Linked DNA regions of Schizosaccharomyces pombe. Changing the gene in region 2 together with the main gene of any one other region gives a genetic interaction. Each region holds a gene or a part of one and is shown on either strand. Other genes may lie near its edges.

Evidence for each region.
Region 1: mutations in mde7 (region 2) and wtf13 together harm fitness more than expected from each alone (negative genetic interaction), as found in Schizosaccharomyces pombe (one large-scale study listed by BioGRID).

The regions. Positions count from the first base shown.
Region 1 is NC_003421.2:1,579,091-1,589,812, forward strand, and holds wtf13 (wtf meiotic drive antidote Wtf13), read right to left. Parts: upstream 2,839-10,722; 5' UTR 2,605-2,838; coding exon 2,469-2,604; intron 2,248-2,468; coding exon of another isoform or gene 2,238-2,247; coding exon 1,965-2,237; intron 1,917-1,964; coding exon 1,560-1,916; exon of another isoform or gene 1,524-1,559; coding exon 1,332-1,523; intron 1,292-1,331; coding exon 1,229-1,291; intron 1,179-1,228; coding exon 1,033-1,178; 3' UTR 501-1,032; downstream 1-500. Other genes in the region: SPOM_SPCC162.03 (dehydrogenase), read right to left, coding at 3,814-4,692; SPOM_SPCC162.02C (AMP-binding dehydrogenase), read left to right, coding at 5,390-8,335; snp27 (U4/U5/U6 small nuclear ribonucleoprotein complex subunit), read left to right, coding at 8,779-9,513.
Region 2 is NC_003421.2:151,969-162,832, reverse strand, and holds mde7 (RNA-binding protein Mde7), read right to left. Parts: upstream 6,928-10,864; coding exon 4,642-6,927; downstream 1-4,641. Other genes in the region: SPOM_SPCC320.05 (sulphate transporter), read left to right, coding at 837-2,840; SPOM_SPCC320.06 (uncharacterized protein), read left to right, coding at 3,330-3,582, 3,640-4,256; SPOM_SPCC320.08 (transporter), read left to right, coding at 10,009-10,864.

The DNA.
Region 1 (10,722 bases), 1.4 Mb from region 2:
TATCATTCTTATATAACTAAAATCCTAGGACGAATTCGTTATATAATTTTACGGTATTGTAATTTATACGTTGGTCAATCGAGCATGTCAGCTACGCAGTTTGATATCTGTTTAATGATACATTGGACTGCGATGAGTTTTACTTGCGATCTACAATGTAGCGGTATGCGGTGTGTTAAGTAACAATGTATGTTTATTGTTATAAGAAGTCTGTTAGTATCGGTCACCGATATAGCTCATAACTGAATTGAGGAACGAGATTCAGTTGTAGCTCTATTTATAATCTTCCTAAAAAGTTGTTATCAACGGGTGTCTATGTATATAGACGGATAGTTACCCGTGATTATCAATAAACGGATCTTAGCTAGTATTCCAACATATGACATATAGTGATACGCAACGTAGTGTATCATAGCGTAATGTAGTATTGCTGACATACCGTAGTACTAAACACTCACTATTGCAATGTGTCATTATAATCATTACGATAACAAACCATCGTTCTGAATCACAATATTTTATTATGCTATTCATTATTTCGTAAACATTGAAATTTGTTTGTATTAAAGTAAACCATTAAACAAAAGGAAAAAATGATAATTAAGCTTGATTCATTAAGAATCAAGATGAAGGAGAAATGAATGCAATAAACGAAAATGAAATTGTGAATTTAACAAGGTGGAACAACGAGTTTTCCAATTTCATTAGTTAATTTAAAGTTGTCGTAAACAAGTTAAACCATTATTGTTTGTAGCGTAGAGTACCATTAAAAAAGACAAATAATTAGACTCGCATACATAATAAATAAAGACTCAGTCCTCAATGCACATTATCCAACATCGTAGAATGCATTGGTTGGCAATTTTTGGTAATTGAAAGAATGAGTTAAGCTTATATCTCACAAACTTATAAGGCAAGAGAATAATTAAAGTATGTTGGTGCTTATTTTTAAAAAACGCCGCAGCTTCTCTGCGTTGGTGATTTTGGTAAAGAGGTTTTCCAACTGGAGCGACAACCACATTAATAAAGCAATTAGACTTCGCTTTCAACATCCATTTCTCCCAAGGGAATGTCATTATTATCGTTGGCACCTCTAAACGCATTTCCTATCCGCCCAATTGCATTTCCTATCCCTCCAAATGCATTTCCTATCCCTCCAAATGCATTCCCTAAACCTCCTAGTCGGGTAAGTAAAAAATCATTCATACAGTTGGTTGAATACACATACCTAGGAAAGAAGCTATACCATTCCCGATAAATTTGGGCATCCTTTTGAGAGCACCTGGACGTTCTGGTATGGTTAGAGTAAATTACAGGAATATATAACGAACCCATTTCGTAAAAGAAAAGAAAATTTCCTATAACAAAGAGTGAAGAGGCTTCAATTTCGTAGCCTGTCGCGTCGATATGTTTATCAAATAAATACATCAAACCTTTCGTTACAATAACGACACAACTTTGTACACCCAGCACTTGAAACAAACCAAAAAGCATATGCTTGAGTGTCCAAATTGGAATACAAACTGTATGTTAGCGTTTAGCAAGATAATTTCACTTACCAAGCAATAAAATGAAAAATAAAGCAGCCGAAATACTGCATGTGGAACAGATGAGTGCCTTATTTAAGTTTAGTCTACCATCCTTGACGCAACCAAAGAGTATAAAACAAATGACTACCCATGCGAGCCAGATTGTAACCACCAAATCTTTTTTTGAGTTATACAAACCGACCGCAATTACCTTTACACATTTTGCCAAGAAAACTGCAGTCACCTTTACACATTTTGCCAAGAAAACTGCAGTCACCTTTACACATTGTGCCAAGGAAATTGCAGTCACCTTTACACATTGTGCCAAGAAAATTACAGTCACCTTTATACATTGTGCCACTGCCTGGGTCCAAGTTTCAAAGAAGCCTAATGAGTTAGTGAATGGACGTATTAACAACTTCATGCATAGCTTACAGAAAATAGCAATAAACACTATTGGACATGTTATACCAATTGTGACGGAGAAAGCTACCTTGCCGAATATCGACTTCTCCAACGGGTTTACACAAACCCATGCAGTAAAAAAGACAACAATAACTGCAAGAACTGATATTAGTAGTCTCAGAAGGGAATATATATTTGGATGTGAATCTTTGAATTCTTGTCTTCTTTCGACATTGGGATTTGCAATTTCTGTAGGTCCTGTACTTGAATCCTCAGATACAGTTTTAATATATTTCCAAATTTCTGAAAGCATTAATAAAATAAATAACTTTTGAAATTTGGTTTTTTTTTTTTTTTAAAATGATGTAGAAGGAAGAAAGTGTGTGCCCTGTTAGACGAATTTATGCTCGTAATATGTCAAGTTGTAAACAAACAAATACAACAAAAACATTGTAAATCAAAACAAACAGACACAGCAAATAATCCTTGACACACTCAATTCTTTATCTTATCCACCAACAACACAACACTTACCTGAATATGGAGGCAATGTGCTCCCATCTTCTGAATTGTATTCTGGGAGAGGACCTTTTTCCAAATCAATTTCATTATCGTTTTTTGTACTCAATTCATCCATAGACGACCTCAAGGGATAATCTTTATTCTTCATTTCTTAGAAACAATCTATTATTGAATGATATACACACAAATAGTTCAATTGCTGTGATTGCGACAAACGAAACAGCGAAATCAAGAATATTCGCTCTGTAGTCCAATTCCAATCGCTTTAAAGACTTTTTAACAAAATAATAAAATTGTTCAAACAAATTTCCAACTAATTCCTTCAAACAATGGCATAAAAAAAGAAGAACGAAAAAACTGAACGAGGCAGTGGATTGCTTCTGACACATTTATTCTGTCACTGCCTTTTTATTAAGTTAGCTTGAGATTCCTTCATGTTAGCTACGCAGTTTGGTATCTGATTTAAGGATACGTAGAACTGCGGTGAGTTTTCCTTGTGACCTATTATATTACATTACACAGGTTATATGAGTAGCAACTGAGTATAGGTATTGTATTAATTAGGTTATAATGTTACCTATCACTAATATAGCTCATAACTGAACTGAGGAACGAGGTTCAGCAGTAGCTCTATTTATATTATTCAGATAATATAGATCTTGATAGATTATCATTAAGATCAATCTCAATATCGTATCATACATGGTACTATATATACATGTGACATATAGTGATACGCAACGTAGTGTATTATAGCGTAGTGTAGTATTGCTGACACAATCCACATTATTTCGCAGCTCACTATTTGATAAACAATGAAAAGACGAAGCTAGAAGTAGGTAAGATTAGTATATGTTATGTTACGGAGCATAATTATAAACACGGATTCTAATACAATACAATGGAGATTCATGTACTTTACTTTGATCTTAATTTTTAAAATTTGTGACAATTCTAATGTTCTGACGCTAGATCATTAGAGGCACAAATTTTTGTCCGTAGCCTTACTAAACAGTATAGACACTGATGTTTGTTATTCAGAATTTATGAAGAAGCAACAGAAGTGGTGTTATATTCAAATGAATAGCATTAATTGGTAATTTGGAACGTTTCTTAATCAGTGAAATACACATTTTTTTTTACGAAGTATGAAAGTGAAAAATTTGTGCAAAGAAAATAAATGCAGACAAGTTCATTAATATTTGAACCAATGCATTGTAGTTTTAGAAATTGTTTGACTGCATTTTCTCATATGAATGTGTAAATAAGGAAATGATCGTTTTGCGATCCTCATATACATTCAACTCTTCATTTAATTCTATTCAACGAGATCAAAAAAAATTCTTGTATGCCTTCATCACATAGATTGAAGATTTTGACGCAAAGTTTCTACCGAAGCTGGATCAAAATCATCCTTTGCAACACTTGTACTAAGTGCAACATTACTTTCAAGCTCTTCCCCTATGTCTTGATGTTGCTTGCGGATTAATTCCAAGGAATCGTGGCCTAGGACAAGCTTTTGAGGCGGCCTGTCGAGTTTGGCAATGCTATATAACAACTCCGCAGCTTTGTTCGGGTCAGTTTCCTCGCAGCCATGATAGTTTTCCCAAAATGGTCGCCAAGACCTGTCATTTTCGTAGGCTGGATGAGGTTTTGCCCATTGCATATTAGAGGAAGCCCATTCTGTTTGCATGCCACCTGGCTGTACAATAGTTATCGCAATGTTCCAATTCGGATCTAACTCTCTCATAATTGTTTGCGAAAGCCCTTCGACAGCAAATTTGCTAGCATTATACATGCTTAAACACGGAGATGGGTAATAACCTGCGACTGACGAAATTTGTAAAATACGCCCTCCTTTACCGGATTCGCGCATGAGATTCAACGCTTCTTTGGTAATGTATGCAACTCCCCAAAAATTTACATTCATTTGACGATGCATTTCCTCAATGTTGTATGATTCAAATTCGCCAACAAGGCCATACCCTGCATTGTTGATCACTATGTCTACGTTTCCAAATCGCCTCTTTGCATCTTTGAAAGCGGTTTCAACAGACTTCACATCTGTAACATCTAATTTGAGCTTTAATAATTTTGAATGCTCGATGGTTATTGTGTCGGGAGCACGAGAACAAGCTATTACATTATAACCTTGGGCCAATCCAACTTTCACCAATGCATAGCCCAATCCTTTGGATGACCCAGTAATGAGTACAGTAGAAAACGTAGATTTCATTGTTTCTTATGATCGTGTTTCGTCTTTTGAGACACCACGATTGTACAATTAAACAATTTTTTTGCTTTCTCAACCAAGCCCGTTTTTACCCGATTACTGTTGTAGTAAGCCTTTTCAAATGGTATTCGAGTAGTTCACAATCGTCGCGTAACAGACAAACCCTGATTCTTTTGAGCTTCTTAACAATGAATTGCTTAACTTAACTCTCTAATCCACTTGCTGGATATTGCTTTTCCTAAGTCTTCATTTCTCGAAGTGAAAGTATGATGATGTTGTTGGTGTTCGGATGTCTGTAAACACTTTTCGTTTCTACTATCCGTAGCTCATCGTATAAAAGAATCCTATAAAGGGATATAGATAGGCTCAGTAATGTAGTGCTTGCGCTACGTCTCAAAACTCACCACCATACCGCTGTCTCAATGTCCTGAACAATTTGTGAATTAAGTTAGTTAACTCTTAAAGTTGTAAGAATACAATATGTTCTTCCGGATACTGTATACTCTTATTGAGGGCAATGGAGTCGGATTCCTATAGCCGGATCCTGGTTTTTTTACATGCAGTGAGATTAATGTATCGTTAGCATAGAAGACCGATTTGAAACAAGAAGTGTTAACTTTTTAACTTTACGAAATTTGCTGTTTGTCATTTCAAGGTTGCTTCTTTAGTTGATACTGGTATTGAAAATATTTAAAAAAAAATGCTGTGCGATTCGTCAGAATCAGTTTCGTTTTCATCCATATCTAAAGAAGAAGATACACCAATCGCTCGCCTTTTGAAAAACGCAAAAGAAACACCAGATCATCGGTTTATCTCCGTGTACAATGAACGTGGAATTGTTGCTAAATATACATATACAGAATTACTTCGTCGTGTTAACACAATTGCTAAATTTTGTGATGATTTAGGCTTGGGAAAGACAGTTGGAATACATATGGGACACGAGTTGGATTTTCTGTGTTCTATATTTGCTTTATGGGCTACTGGACGAACCTGCGTTATTTTTAACCAAATTTGGTCCCAGCAAGTTGTTCGTGTACTTGTTAAACGTTTGAATATTTCTGATTTGCTTTATCATGAATATAAGCCCAAGTTTGAGGTGGACACCTTAAATGCTACATCCTTGGCTTCGCTGCCGCTGGATATCGATGCTCCTTGTATTCGAGCTGGATTAGAGCCGGAAGTCGCTCTTATTAACCATTCTAGTGGGTCCACAGGAGTCCCTAAATCCATGCCATTTCTCATGAAGAAATATGCTTTGGGTTATGACTATGGAACTCCTGAATTTATGAATCATCTCTCCACTCCAATGGTAATGGCTACCAGCTTTGCTTTAACAACCTTGAGTTGGATTAATGCCTTGTATTGTAATGGGAACTTACTGTACCCATCCTCTTCGATATCGGCTACTTGCACTTCAGAGGCTGAACGGCTTGCTTGGAATGTTTACTATGCTCTTCGTGCTGGATGCGAACGTTTAATTATTTTACCCAATCTCCTTGTTCTAACTCTCCAAATAATGCCTGACAAGGAAGAATGCTTTCCTGCTTGTAAACTAGTAGCAGCAGGCGGTGAAATGGTCCCTGCAAACATGTATCATACATGCAAACGAGTATTACCAAATGCGACCATTTATCCACAGTATGGTACTACTGAGTCGGGATTGGTTTCATTTTTGGCTTACAATGGGAAAGACACACTGCATAACAAAGAGCTTGTCTATTTCCCTGGTAAAACCGTTAAAAAACTAATGTTAGTCACTGAGGATAACGAAGCTGTTCCTGAAAAAATTGGTTGCGAGGGCTTTGTTTGTGTTGTGACCGATGTACAATCGGAGCCTTATGTAGGCGATGATGCTGAAACTATTCAATCCCGTAATTCTACGTTTATAAATTATGATGGTCAACCAGCAGTGCGATTTGCTGACTTGGCGGTTTGGAATTCTTATAAAGGAAAATTGGGAATCACCATTAAAGGCCGGTTAGGAAGACGTGTCAAAAGAAATGGTGTATTCTTTGATTTGAAATATTTTGACCAAGTTGTTGTAGGATTGAAGGAGGTAAAAGACGCTTTTTCTTTCTTCATATTCAATCGCTTTGTATTGGTGTATGTTCCTGCATATAATGGTGTGGATCCTGTAACACTAAAGCAAAAATTGAACAAAGAGCTCCGAGATCACCACCTTTTCTCAAGTTGCTTTCCGCTTGCTGATATACCGCGTAACGCTGCAGGAAAAGTGGATTTGAAGTCTATCGAAACTTACGCATCTAAATGCCTTTCCGTAGAAGATCAGCGCTTACCTGTTTTATTAAACCCTGTGGCTATTGAAATCAGTAAAATTGCTTCAAAAATTCTCCAAAACCCAAGCTTGGAAGGAAAGGACGCACCTCTTTATTCCTGCGGTTTAGATTCCATTCATTCTGTGAGATTTTTTCATGCTATTCAATCCCACTTTCATCTTGAAGGCCCAATTCGCTACAATATGAATTCAAATTGTACCCCTAACTCGATAGCCTCTATAATTCAAAAGAAAAGTTACAACGTATCGTCAATCACCTATGAACTTTTAAATGAAGATGCATGCGCTTTATCACGTACCATTCCCAAGTTAAGTATTCTGCCTACCAATGGTCAATATTTCTTGTTAACTGGAGCAACGGGTTATTTTGGTCGTCGTTTTTTGGAATATCTAGTAAAGTTGAATATAAGTGTTGTATGTCTAGTTCGAGAGTCCTCTGATGAAGCTGCTAAAGAAAGGTTAATATCACTTGTTCCTAGTCTTCGAATTTCGAGTGAAAATATAATTGTATGGGCGGCTCATGTAGAGGAGATTAGATTTGGGTTGGATGATGCAAAATGGGAGTTTCTGGTGGAAAATGTTTCCCGAATCTATCACATGGCTGCGGAAGTTCACTGGATGAAGTCGTATCAAGAACTTAGACCAGCAAATGTTTTGGGGACTAAGACTGTTTTGGAACTGAGTGTGATGGGACCCAAGGCTCTTTACTTTATCTCTGGAGGTGGACAACAGGAAGTAGAGCTTGACGATGATACTCAATCTGCTAAAGCATCTGGATATGCACTATCCAAATACGTTGCTGAGCTCTTGTGTCGAAAGATTAGCGATTTAGGACATCCCTTAATATATGTTATTCGTCCAGGATTTATTATAGCAAACGATGGGGAAATTTTATCGAGAGATTTCTTTTGGCGTTTCGTCGCGACAGCTTTACGAATGGGTATTTGGCCACAAAGCGATGAATCACAATCTTTGGTATTCCACATTTCAACAACTGATGCATTGTGCATGACGCTGACTCAAATATTGGAGAAAGAAGCTGATGCGTATGCTCCACTTTTGGCTTATGATAAGTTTGACGGTGATGAGTTTGCTTGTATTTGTGAATCTATGAAAAACGTTAAGCTAGACTTTGTTACATTGGAGGATTGGTTGAAGGCACTTGAAAAAGATGTCGATGAAAAAGGTGAAGACCATCCTCTATTTGCTCTTCAGCATGCAACCAAGTTTGCTCTGAAAAGCAGCATGACACCAAGCAACGGGCTAAGGAATATTTATCCTTTGAGTGAAACCTTTCTAACTAAGGAAGCCATTGCAAACGGGCTGGAGAATCTATACATTGAATAGCTTAGTGTTAGCACTGATTTGTCCTTTGGAACAGAGGGGCCAAAGAGATGTACAAAAATTAAAGATTGGTTTAGATGTATCAGTAAATGGTTTCTAACTACTAATCTAAATCTAAGTGTATATTAATTATGCTGCAATTCTTTGTTGATTTATTTACAATATCAAGTAACAAGTAAAGAAGCAAGCTTCATGTTACCTGACCTACTGATCCTCACTACCTTTATAACGAGTGAGAAGTTTGAATGTATCACAGTTGTAAACCCACAAAAAAAATTTAAAAAAGCGTCTAGCAGCAGGATCAAATAAAAAAACATTTAATTGTATAATTTTAGAAGATTTAGCTTCTAAGGGAAATTGTTTATTTGTTCAATCTACTGTGAAGTTTGGGATAGTTGAAAAGTTTTGGAGAAGATAATCGGGGATTCCTTTTTGGTATAGTAGCAATGTCTTCGTCAAGAAGCGGTGAACACCGTCGAAATTATGCGCAAGGCCGAAATTACGAATCCAGTCGCTCACGCGGTGATCAACGAGACAGGGATTATCGTGAATATCGTCGAAATTATAGAGACGAGAGAAGTAGTAGACGTTACGAGGATTCACAACGTAGAGATTACAGTCCAGCTAGAAGACGCGATCGTTACGAAAGGCATCGAGAGTCTGTGCGAGAGGAAAGCCCTAGGCGTCCAGTAGAGCATGAACGAAACTGGCAACCGGAGCTGAAGCATGGCCGAGAAAGATTTCGAGAGCGAGACTATGAAGGTCGACGGGATCGGAAGGAACGAAGAGACGGTGTCTCACCCTTTTCTCCTGAAGGGGAGGGGTTGGAAAGGAAAAGAGAGCATGAAAAATTGCAAGCACCATCTCCAAAAGAAGAGGAAGAAAGGCCTGTTGATCAAGGCGACAAGATGGATGGAGTAAAGGAGGATAAGGATGGGTCTTTGGAAGTAGGAAAAAGCCACGATGCGATGACGAGGACAAAGAGCGCTGAGGAAGAAATTGTGGAACAAGAGGATGAAGCGACGGCAGAGATGAAACGTATTATGGGATTTTCGGGATTTGACACAACGACGGGGAAGAAGCATGGAGACGTGGGCCAGGTGTACAAGCAAAAGAAAACCAAGTATAGACAGTATATGAACCGACCCGGTGGATTTAATCGTCCATTGGATAATGAATAGAAAGTCAAGAAAGGAGGGAAGGTGTGTATGGATAGAACTCTTTAATGAATGATATGCAAGCAGAATCCGGAAAAAAGTAGTTGTAAAGGGAAAATGAAGAGAGGAGTAGTTTAGTTATAAAGAGAACATGAAAAGAGATGTAAAAATAAAAAAATGTTTAATTTAGTAAAGTCGACGAAAAAAGTTGAAATGTAAACGAGAGAAGAGTTGAATCAAAATGTTCGTCCTAAAGAAGTTGCGATTTTGGAATGGTGTATTGTTTACTTGGCATGAACTTTTGCCATGCATTTAACGCAATCCTGCGTGAATATCGCTAGATAAAAACCTTATATTAAGCGAGAGAGATAGAAGGACCCCGCGAATATTGGAAATTGTTTGCATGTGCGCAATCAAGCCGAATCCACTTTTCTTACAGTAAGAGAAGGAAGCGTGTGTAGAGTGTATAAACAAGAGAAATGAAATAAAAACTGTGCTAAAGGAAGCATTTGCAAAGATGTGGGACGGATGGGCCAGTTTATGCAAATTCGTTAAACAAAGCTTTGCTTTCTGCTATGGCAGTAACAATGGCGATATTAATGACTGTTGATTTTGATGCCTAATGGCTTGATGAAACACGACACATGATCATAAACCGTGTATGGTATTATTGTATATTGTATGGTATTGTGTATTGTATATCGTACTGTGTTCGAAGAGTATAAGGAAAAAATGGTAGAGAGGAACCAATTAATGTTTTACTGTAAAGTAGCCTGCATTACGTTATATTTGATAATGAGCTCGATAAATGGGCTTAATCTATTTTCTTGAAGGGGAGAATGGGACAGATGGATGGAAAGATTTGAAAATACATAGTGTTGGTTGAATTTGCATTGGGAGGCCGGCGGAGCATGCGAACCATTATAGAATAGGCAGTATGAAAATTTAGCAAGCGATAGCTCAAGTTTGCATGATCGAATGAGTTATCCAAAAAATAAACTGGAGTATTGTTGAATTCAGTTTTGAGCAACCGAATTCGCAGTACCTTCTTACAGTACCTCCTCACAGCCAAGTTTCTACCCTAGTAGAGAGTATCCAGTTTGTCGGTTTGTTGGTTGCGAAACCAGTATGGACGATGTTGGTTGTCAGATTAAGCAGTGCAAGTTTTGCAGCCCATGTTGGTAAGTGAAGAGAGACAAATAGGATGACAACGAGCGGCAGGGCGAGAGCGAG
Region 2 (10,864 bases):
AAGGGAACAACAACTATTACTATAAGTACAAAGAAATTTAATTAGTAGAAGCACAATTGAAATATCTTGAAATATTGAGAATACATGCATCTTTTTTTAAACGCATTTCTAAAACCGCGTCGCCACTAGAAAGACCCCATAATAACAGGATTCTGTTATTTTATTAAATGATAGAATTGATTATAACTGTTGTTTCTGTTTACAGAGTACTCTCCGTAGTATCTTTCATCGATTTTACGTTGTAAAAGTGCCCACAGCTGCTCTAATAAAAAAGTTGCAACTATGAAATTAGGACTGACAAGTTAAATGCGAATAACTTATTAATTAATTCATGAAAGCACTTGTTTCGACTGCTTCATACTGTTTTTCAGTGTTTTCTCTTGCTCTGTATGTATTATCATTCGACTATAAGCGATAGTCTATTTCTAAAAGTAACGTATGAGTTAATTAAGTCTTACTTAAGCGAGTTACGATGACGGCCACTTATCTGCGTCAGAATCTTACATATATTAGAGTCGGAGATACCTCCGATTTTAGGACCTATATCTTATGGCTTATAGGACCGGACCTGACCTACCAATTTGATAATACAGTCAATTCACTAAGTGCAAGTTAAATCTTATGACTTATTTCTAAACTCCAACTTTTTCTTACTATTTCCCATTTGTGGGACTCGACGAAATTGATCGCTTTTCTTTAATTTTCAATTTGGTTTCGTTGCACGTTGAGCATTTATCCGGTTTTTATTTAACGTTAGTATTGTAGATTTTTGAAATTACTAAGCTTTTAATCGTAACATATTACTTTTGCACCTCAAACGGTTTCTGTTTGTAGCAATGTCGTCTCCTTCAGAAAACCATCTTTTGGGCCCTAAAACTAGCTTTATCGATAACAGAACTAGCACCAGTAGACCCTTACACGAGATTCCTTCTTATCAATCTTTAGCTAGACGTTCTTCCACATGGAAGCGTGCTAACATTCCTCAACAAAAACCCAGTTTGGTTCGAAGAATCAATTATTATATCCCTGTCCTTCATTGGCTTCCCAACTATTCCTTAAGAAATATCATTTGGGATGTGTTAGCTGGCTGCTCGACTGCTTGTCTCTCTGTGCCTATTGCATTATCATTTGCACAAACGTTTCTAGGTGTCCCCCCAATATACATTTTAACAGGTACTGCAATTGGCCCCATATTATATTGTCTTTTTACAGCTTGCCCGCTGATATCCATCGGACCCGAGGCTGGTATGTGTCTGCTTATTGCTGAAAACATTCACCAACGCGTTTTGTCGAAAGCCGATGTTCCTCAAGAAACAGCAATTTTAGTAACTGGATTGATTGCCTTTATCGCAGGAATTATCAATTTAGCTGCCGGGCTGTTCCGCTTGGGATTTTTGGATGCACTTGTATCCCCAGTATTGTTACGTGGATGCATATTGTCAATATCTATGATTATTATGATCAATCAAGGATCTGTATTTTTTGGATTTTCTGGAGTCAAATATAAAGGTTCGGACTTTCCTATTGATAAACTTATGTTTTTAATAAGGAACATGTCGAAAGCTAACATATATACCACTATACTTTCATGTATTACAATATCGTTGCTCATAGGTTGTCGAAATCTTAAATCCAAGCTTTCCGCTAAATACCCTCGAATTGTCTCGATTCCTGACGCAGTTATCATACTATTGTTAGGTTCTTTTTTGAGCAAAAAGTTTGACTGGCATTCCAATTACGGTATTGCCATTTTAGGAGAAATTAAAACCACAATACTACTTCCTAAGCTTCCCCTACCTGAAAAAAATAAGCTTCACTTTATTACCCAAAGTTTACAAACTGGAGTAATGTGTTCATTCCTTGCTTTCATAGATACGGTTATTGCAGTGAAAGCTATTTCGTTGCAGACAAATAATCTAATACGCTCCAATCGTGAGCTGATATCTTTAGGGGCTGCGAATATAGGAAGCAGTTTATTTTGTGGGCTTCCTATTTGCGGTGGGTACCTACGTACTAAATGTAACATAATGTCTGGTGCTCGAACACAGGTAGCTACTATTGCTTGTAGTGTACTTATTTTGTTAGCAACATTCTTTATCATGCCTGTGTTCTCCACTGTACCTACTTGCATGCTTGCTTCCATGGTGGTTTCCTTGGGTGTATCATTGTTCGCCGACGCTGCCGTGGAAATTTTCAAGTTAGCCCGCATAAGAGTGTGGTGGGAATTGGGAATTATATTTTCTATCGCAACATGCACTATGATGTTTGGATTGGAAACTGGAATTATCTTTGGATTGTCCATAACAGTGATGCAAATTATAAGACACTCCACCCGTTCTCGCATCATGTTTAGATCTCCTACTTCAAACGGTACAGCAGAATTTATCCTTGAAGATGCAGCTTCCACTTTATCCCATCGAACTAATCCTTCTTCGACTGCTGTCGAGAGTGCCCCCCGCATCTTAGTCGTTCGCATTCCTGAACCGCTTTTTTTTGCAAACGTCAGTCAGCTTGAAGATCGACTAAATCGTTTAGAAAAGTACGGACATCCAAGAATGCATCCTGGAGAAACTCCTTATCGTCGTATTGAAGACATTGAAGTCGTTGTTTTTGACATGGTAGGTGTCTCTTCCATAGATTCAAGTGCTCTTTTTGCCTTTCAGCGTATCCTTAAAGAGTATGTCGAGCACCAAGTTGAGGTTCATTTGGTATCTTTAGACCCGCAAGTTCTTCATATTTTTGAAAAACATGGTCTTTTGGATCTCATCGGTGGTTACGATCACGTCCAGGATAGTATTAAAAAAGTGGATGCTCTTTGCGATATCGAACTTGGAGTGTAAAAACTTTTGGAGTAGCTCTTTTATGTCTATTTTATGGATTATCCCCAATTACGCGTTAAAAACGCTAAACGGTCTTTAAATTGTCCCTTCCTATTCTTGCAATGTTGAGACTATTTTTGTTGCCTCTCAAATCAATGGCAAAATGCTTATACTTTGCTTTCTATTTATTTCCCATAGAACTATATATCTATGTATATATATTTTGAATAAAAATTAGAAATTTTTATAAATTGGCTTTTGTAAGTCAAGATAGAGTGTATAAACCTCTATTCGTTTTCATCTAAGCTATACTAACATCCTAAAAACTCATGTTTTCATTCAGCCTTTTTCATGTACAGTGATCATTTAATGAGTTGAACCGTGCCTCACTATTCATCACAAGTGATTCGTTAGGGCTCGAGAAATTAGTTTATTGAAGTGTAACGATTCCGCAAGTTCCTTTCTATTATCTAAAGAGAAATCGGCATTTGGTTGCTGTCGTGTGCCACGATGGTTCTCATTTCAAATACATTGCATTGCGCGGATGCTTATTCTAGTGCCGACTCAAAGCATGTTCCACTAACTCTCTCAACCAGAAGGATAAACCTACAGTCGTTCCAATCCATTTCTGCTCGTAACTGTGGATCCGATGCGCGTGTTTTAGATTTTGTTAAAAGTATTGACAATGACAATTCATGGAAAAGAAGGAACCTTGATTCCAAGAGAAACATCGGTTCGAGGAAAAAGAATCGTTTCCTTAATGGTATGTTTTGGGTCGCTGTTCGCATTTTTGAAACTATTTACTAATATCGACTCTCAGACTTGCATATATTAAAGCAAGCAGCGGATGATCCTGATGAGGTCGTTTATAAGGATTTATTTACCCACAGACCAGCTTTTGGTTTTTTAACCGTTGGAGATGAGTTTTACAAGGATGGAGTAAATAATATATCTTCATTGCTAACATCATCATCGAACCAGAGGTTTAACGACAATCACCATAAATCCATTGTTAAAAGGATTAGACATGAAATCAAATGTTACAACTCTCTGCAACTAGTGTTGTTGTTGGACGAGTGCTTGAATAATATTATGAACGAAAAGCTTTATGCTTATGACCACGACCATTCACCAGCGATATATGCTTCGGAAAGCTTTAATATTAAAGCAGAAATTGATACGTCTTCTTTTTTGGAAACGCAGAGAAGCTATCGAATTTATATGTTAATTGATTGTCCTAGCAATCCGAAAGCAACAGCCTTCGCTCGATATTGGATGCATTTGATTTGCTCATATTATGGTATTTACACTACTTCTACACAAATCTTATCAAACAAAATAATGACCCTCGGTGTTTCTAAAAAACGGAAGCATTTGTCATTCAAAACTCTTTCCGAACTTTTAAACCATGACGAACTAACAAACATAAATCGTTAATTCGACTTTAAATGGAAGACGTCGTTAAATTTTATTGCGTTATAAATTTTATTCTACATTTTGCAACCAAAGTGTGAGATCAAGTTTTTTCCAATCTAGCTTAGTGAAGGCTGACAGCATGTTACTTTGAATTTCAATAATTGCTTACCAAATTCAACCAAATTTTTTATTAATTATGCTAGTTATTATTATTTTTTTATTTTTTTTCTCAATAATTGTGGAATTTTTCACAAAGGATAAAATAATTCTGTCATGCAACTGATTCTGAATGTTAAAACTAAAAATCAAACGTTTTGACTTTGTATAGAAATAGAGTCATTTTCTTTACATAGCCTTAGCGTGCTCTTTTCAATAGTGTTGACTATTGAAGAAAAACTCACCGTTTCTATTTGCTAGGAAACTCAAAAATATCAAACAAATCGTTCACTTCCGACGAGTGAGTTTGGGTCCTGTTTAGTGTGGTGACACTGTTGGTTCCATTTGGTTTTGGAGTCATATTTTGAAAATGGTATTTTCGTTCAACAGCAGCGGATGCCTTTGCTGAGTAGCAGTCCGTGCTTTTCTTCGGAGGGCCGTGTTGTTGAAAAAGGGATGCTGTGGTTGAAAGGTTTTCGGTGGAGCGGACACCAAGTGGATTTTTGGAATAGCTTAAGCGAATGCCACCTTTAATTTTATCGTCTAATGCAGCACCTTGCATTTTTTCCATTGCTTTCGCAGCATGGCAAACTTCCTCAAATTCTACAAAACACATAGGACTGTTTCCCTTAATTTTGAAACATAGTCTCCGATACCCCTTCTCTTTTGAAAAAGCCAACCTAAGCTTTTTCTCTTGGTCTGGGTTGGACAAATTTCCCACATAAATTGTGTTACAGGGTGAGTTATGATCAGTTTGCACATTGGACTCTACTTGTTCCAATAGCACTTTATTATCAAATTCTTCTTCCTGAAGGCATTTTAATTCACAAACACGGACATATTCGGCGCTCCTTAAAGGGCGTTGTTTTAATGACGGGCGTGAACGGACTACTTTAAGGTCTGGCATAGGCTTCCACTTGGGCGGCGGCCTAAGTTCACTTTCATATGGGGCAACACCATTCAGTGGAATTGTACGTGGTCTTATAGCAGGTAGCTCTTTAACAGGGCTCGTACGTTCTAATCGCAATGCCTCTTCAAAAGGATTTGATTTATCGATAGCTTGTTTTGAAATAAAAGAGTTGTCTTTATGATAACTTGGTCTTGAAGGTAAAGAAAACTTTGCTTTGGGCGAAATTGCATTTGGATGATTAGGTTGGTAATCGAACGACGTTTGTGCAAAGTTATTCGGCTGATTTGATAAAGAATTAGATTCACCAATATTAGCAATATTGTTTGGCAACTGTGAATATTTGGCTGTGGGGTTTGTTAATTCATTGCTTGTAAATTGAAGCCCTTTGCTATTTTTCTGCGTTTGGAAAGAATATACGGCTTGCTCTTTAGAAGATGGCTGTAATAGCCTATTATTCCAGTTTGAAGGTGAAGGGTTTCCCATTGATGCTCGTGATTGATTAAGATATTCAGCTTTAGGAGCCTTTATTGGGTTGAACGATTTAAAAGCTTCCAATACCGCTGGATACGAGGTGGACATTCGTGATTCTGAAGTAACGTCCTTATTGATGACAGAATCAAAATTTGCTGGTGAAAACCGAGGAAACCCAGGCGTTGTTGAGTCATAGTTATTTGACAGGCGTTGGGAATATAAACTTGGGGTAGTCAATGGTGGAATGCCCTTGTGATATTCATTTTCTTGTTGCCTTACAACATCCCTTTGAATAATGGTGAAATTGTTTGTAGAAGACGCGTTTAACATGTTTTTTGCCTTTAATGCAGCTATTGCGTTCCGAAAGTATACAATAGCTTTTCGGTGCCCATTTTCACTTTCGATTTTTGAAAAATCATATCCTTCGCAGAATGTGAAAATTCCACTCAGCTCTCTATCATCAAAATCGTCCGGCAAGCCACCAACAATTTGAATGATAGAAGATTCTAAATCATCATTTGAAGCTTCACTAAGGGAGTTAGATCCAGAACTACTTTTAGAATGTACTGATTTGTCGGTATCATCAAAGTAATGTTCCGGTACCAAGCTAGGTGTTCTAGCCCGAAGATTTGGATTCAATAGAACACTTTGATCCAACGAAGGGATGGCATTTAGCGTTGCAATTGAAGATCGACTATCTGAAAGAAATTGATTTTGGGGTGGAAAATTTGGAGAGCTGCCTGTGCCTTCGAAACTGTTAGAATTGTATGCGGAATTCCAGCAATTATTGCTAATTGAATTATTTGCAAAATTACCGGAGTTTGACTCCGCAGTGCCCTGTAAGTAAGAGTTGTTCCTTGAAGGCACGGGCAATTTACCAGGACTTGATCCTACTGGGTTAAGCAGAAAAGGAGTTGTCGACCTTGCAGGTTGCTGTGTTTGTGTATATAATAAATTAAGCGGATTTGTCGTTGAATTCCTGGACAGTGGGGGTTTATTAAATGCTCCTGAACCATGAAGCAAAGAGTTGGTCGATTGTTGTTCTGAAAGAGAACTATGGTTAGGTTGAGACAATCCGAAGGCGGCAAGTTTATTTGCCAGGTCATCAGATTTCCCTGCTAGAGGTTGTCCGTTTAAAGCATAAAGTTGACTCATTATTCAATTAGGGATAATTAATAAATGAACGTGGCGGTACTAGAAACAGAAAATGCAAAATAGAACCAAAAGTATTAAAGAAAACACCTGTTTTACAAATTGATTGGGAACACCTCGATTTGAATCGTCGCAGGCAGCAGTTTTATAAATAGATCCTCCAAGAAGTTAAGGAATCAACAGAATATTAAACAGTAAATTCTTTCGTTTGAAAGTTATTTATTGTTTGTAGATGAAAAATTAAAAAAAGTGGTTTTTTTTGATTGGATACTATAAAATATGTTTTTTTTTGTTTGTTTACCTCGATAAAAAAACAGAGAAAATATAACGTTCAAGGTAACAAGACTGAGGTATGCAGAAGTCAAAAAAGAGATAGACAAACAATGCTTGTTTAAAATGCTCAAATCGGTCAATAGGCCTAGTGAGAGAACGGAATTTGCTTATGTCGTCGATGTGAGGAGTCAACGAGAATTTGAATTTCAAAAAAAAAAAGGAATTGAAAATGAAGGCTGGATTAATAAAAGATTATCGAGATTGTCAAAAAAGTAATGCAAAAAAGAAAAAGGCAGTCAATGTGTGAACGAGGTAAAAAATACTTAACTCGTTACTTGAATAATCTGATGAAAACAAAAATGTCGGAATGCTTTAATCGGCAATCGGTATTTAATCAAATGTTAGGGAACTTGAGACTATGCTTTATTTAAAAAAATAAAATGGTCTGTTGCGGGTTCACAGAAGGATGTATACAGGTTAACTTTGCAAGGAAGGTACGGTGATTTAAAAAGTTACTCTTTTAAGCAATGAAAGAGCGATGTTATAACCAATTAACAAGAAGGTTTACTAAAAAACCTGAACTGAATGACTAGAAATGGATGGTGGTAGCAAGGAAAGAGAAAGAATAGAATGGTTCTAAAAGTGGAATTTAATGTCAAAAATTCCTCGTATATGGATTGGAAGGGAAAAGAGTCAATTATTTCCAGAAAATATCTTCTGTATTGCTTCGCAGTATAAGATACACGAAATTAGGCTTTTTAGGACAAAGGATTAGACACGAGAAGATTTCTGAATCAAAAGTTAATTTCAAGCGTATGCGATGCACTTTATATGTATACGTTTTTGGAAAGCGGGGATGGAGGCTATTCTCTTACTTTAAATATACTCGATGATTACAGATTATTGAGTAAAAGTAGTCCTATGGAGGTGTCGAAGCAATTGAGTCATATTTTAATCAACACTCTAGACGCAGCACTGCGATCAAGTGGTGTTTATAATACTATTATTATTCTCCTTACGAATTTGCTTTCAAAAATAGAAAGATAAAAATAATTTACTGTCAACTATGAAGGTAAACTTTACGCCTTAAAAGTAGTTGCTGTAACATGATTTATGTTTGCATCAACCTTAAAACCGCCTATTTGCTGTCTATCTTAAAAGAAGCATATTCTTGTCAAAAAATATGGACAAGCAGTTCTTTTAATAAGGAATGAACTGTTTAAATTCACTTCGCTTTGCATGCTTTGACTTTTGGTTCCGTTTATTGTAATGTTTACATATTCAAGTACGAACAGATGATCAGAACTTGTGACTAAATTGCTCTTGAATAGATCAATATTAGAGAAGAAAAGTCTCGTTTCTCCTCATTTGCCTCGTATGGAAATGAACTGGAAGGCTTGGCAATTTCTAATATCCCAATGGATCATCTGCATGCTTTTGACTGCTATGATAGATGAGTGATCTCAGGAATGGTGGTGACAATTTTATTACACAGAATGACATAACGCAATTTCGTTAAAACCCCTAGCAAGCTTAATGAGTTCGGAACGACGTAAAGTCTACATAAGAGCTTGATCGTTAAATTACAGTATGTTAGCTTGCAGTTACGCAGTTTGTTACAGATTTAAGGATGCGTTAATTTTGATGGCTTGTAAATACTTGAGCAATAAGTGTTATTGATATGTCTATAATAAATTGATATTATAAGCTGTATATGAGTTGCTTAAAAGACAAACTAAAGAGCCTAGATTTAACCAACTGAATCGGAGCTAATTTCTAAAAAGTTAAACAATCTTGGAGAAGCTTATGCTGTGGAAGGGAGGTACCAAAATCATAGTTCAGTCATACGCTTGATTATGTTCACGTACTGTATGTCTGATAACAAGTGGCTTAGTTATTTTCTATCTTTTCTAGAGAAACATTCACTTATCATATTGACATTTGCTTCTTTATTCTTGAATATTCGTAGCAGCAAACAGGAGGACCGGACATAATAAACTGTCTTAACATTTACCAAATCGTTAATACTCGTGATACATGCTTAGCTGTTTTAATTGTTTATACATGTGTTTACAAGTTTAGTATCTTGATTCGTTTTCTACGTTACCGGCTCATTTGGGATGAACCCCAAAATATCGATTCCCATTAATTTAAATATTTATGTCTTACACACTTCTACAAGAGGGATAGAATACTACATAAATCAAGCTAGTTTTCCCTAAGTTATTTATACAAAGTCTTTTTACGTATTCTAACAAACAGTATTTTTTTAGCGTCGAGATTCTTATATTTAATACTAGTCCATAACATTCATCCCATCTTCATTGAATTTCTCTTAGTGCTGTAATAAAAAAAAGCAACACATTTCTTCTCTCTTACTCGCTTTTTTATTTCATTTCATCTAGAAGCTGGAAGATTTCTCTCTTCACTAAAATTAGCACATGTTGGGTAAAATCGGCCCCCCTACAAAGAATAGCAAGCCAACTCAGGTATTAATTTCAAAAGTCGAGCTTTTACTATTAATTTACTACTGCATTTGGAAACGATGAATGTACAAGCATTTAGCTCTAAAAGCCTTCGCTTTCGCTTCAGCTTTGTTAATTTTTGCATGTTATACATTCGTTTAACTTTACTCATGGTTATATCTCACATTGTTACTTGGGCAGTCACGCCAGGTTACAGCACTGAAAGAGGTTTTCCATGCGATGTTGAACTCTCCTTCTCACTTTTTTATTGTTTTTTCAATTTTTTCTTTCTTGAAACAACATTCCATAAACAGTGACTTTACTGAAAAGTGATCTGTAGATAGGAATGGTTGACGGTTCGATACACGTGCCAGTGCAAAGTCACGAGGGCCAGCACGATAACTCCAGTAGTTTGAATGAAGAAATTCAAACTTCACAAGACCCGCTAGGTATTGTAGAGTCATACCAGGAAAGCAGTACTTCTGACTTCGATAAAAGTCATTACACTCATAATTCCTCAATTGCTGCCGCCGATTCTGAGTATGGTAGCGCATTCATTCAGGGGCAAAGCTCTAATGGTTCAGAAATCAAGAGTGAGAGACCCTCTATCGACAAAAAACTAGACGTAAATATTGATTCTCATCCCATTGAGCCACCACCGTTTGAACATGATATTGGCCTTCCTGCTTCTCAAGTACCAGCCGCCGAGGAAGAGGTGGAGTCAACTCCAAAGGCAAAACCCCTTTATTTTCTACTAGATAAAAGATTTTGGATTGTGTTTTTCCTTGGTCAGGTTCTCTCTCTGTGCATTACTGCGACCAACACATTCAATGGATACATGTCTGGCATCAGTAATATTCCTGCCTTTCAAACATTCTTGGTTTACGCTTTGCTAACTCTTGTGTACACACCATACACTGTTTTTCGTATGGGATTTAAAAAGTATTTTGAAATGATATTTCGTCACGGTTGGAAATATATCATCTTTGCCTTTTTTGACGTTGAAGGAAATTATTTCGTTGTACTAGCCTACCAATACACAAACATGCTTAGTGCAAGTTTACTCGATTCTTGGGCTACTGTGGCAGTTGTAATTCTTTCCTTTATCTTTTTAAAGGTTCGCTATCACTGGTCTCAAATTCTTGGTGTCGTGGCTTGCATTGGTGGTTTGGTTTTGCTGGTCGTTAGTGATGTGATTTCTC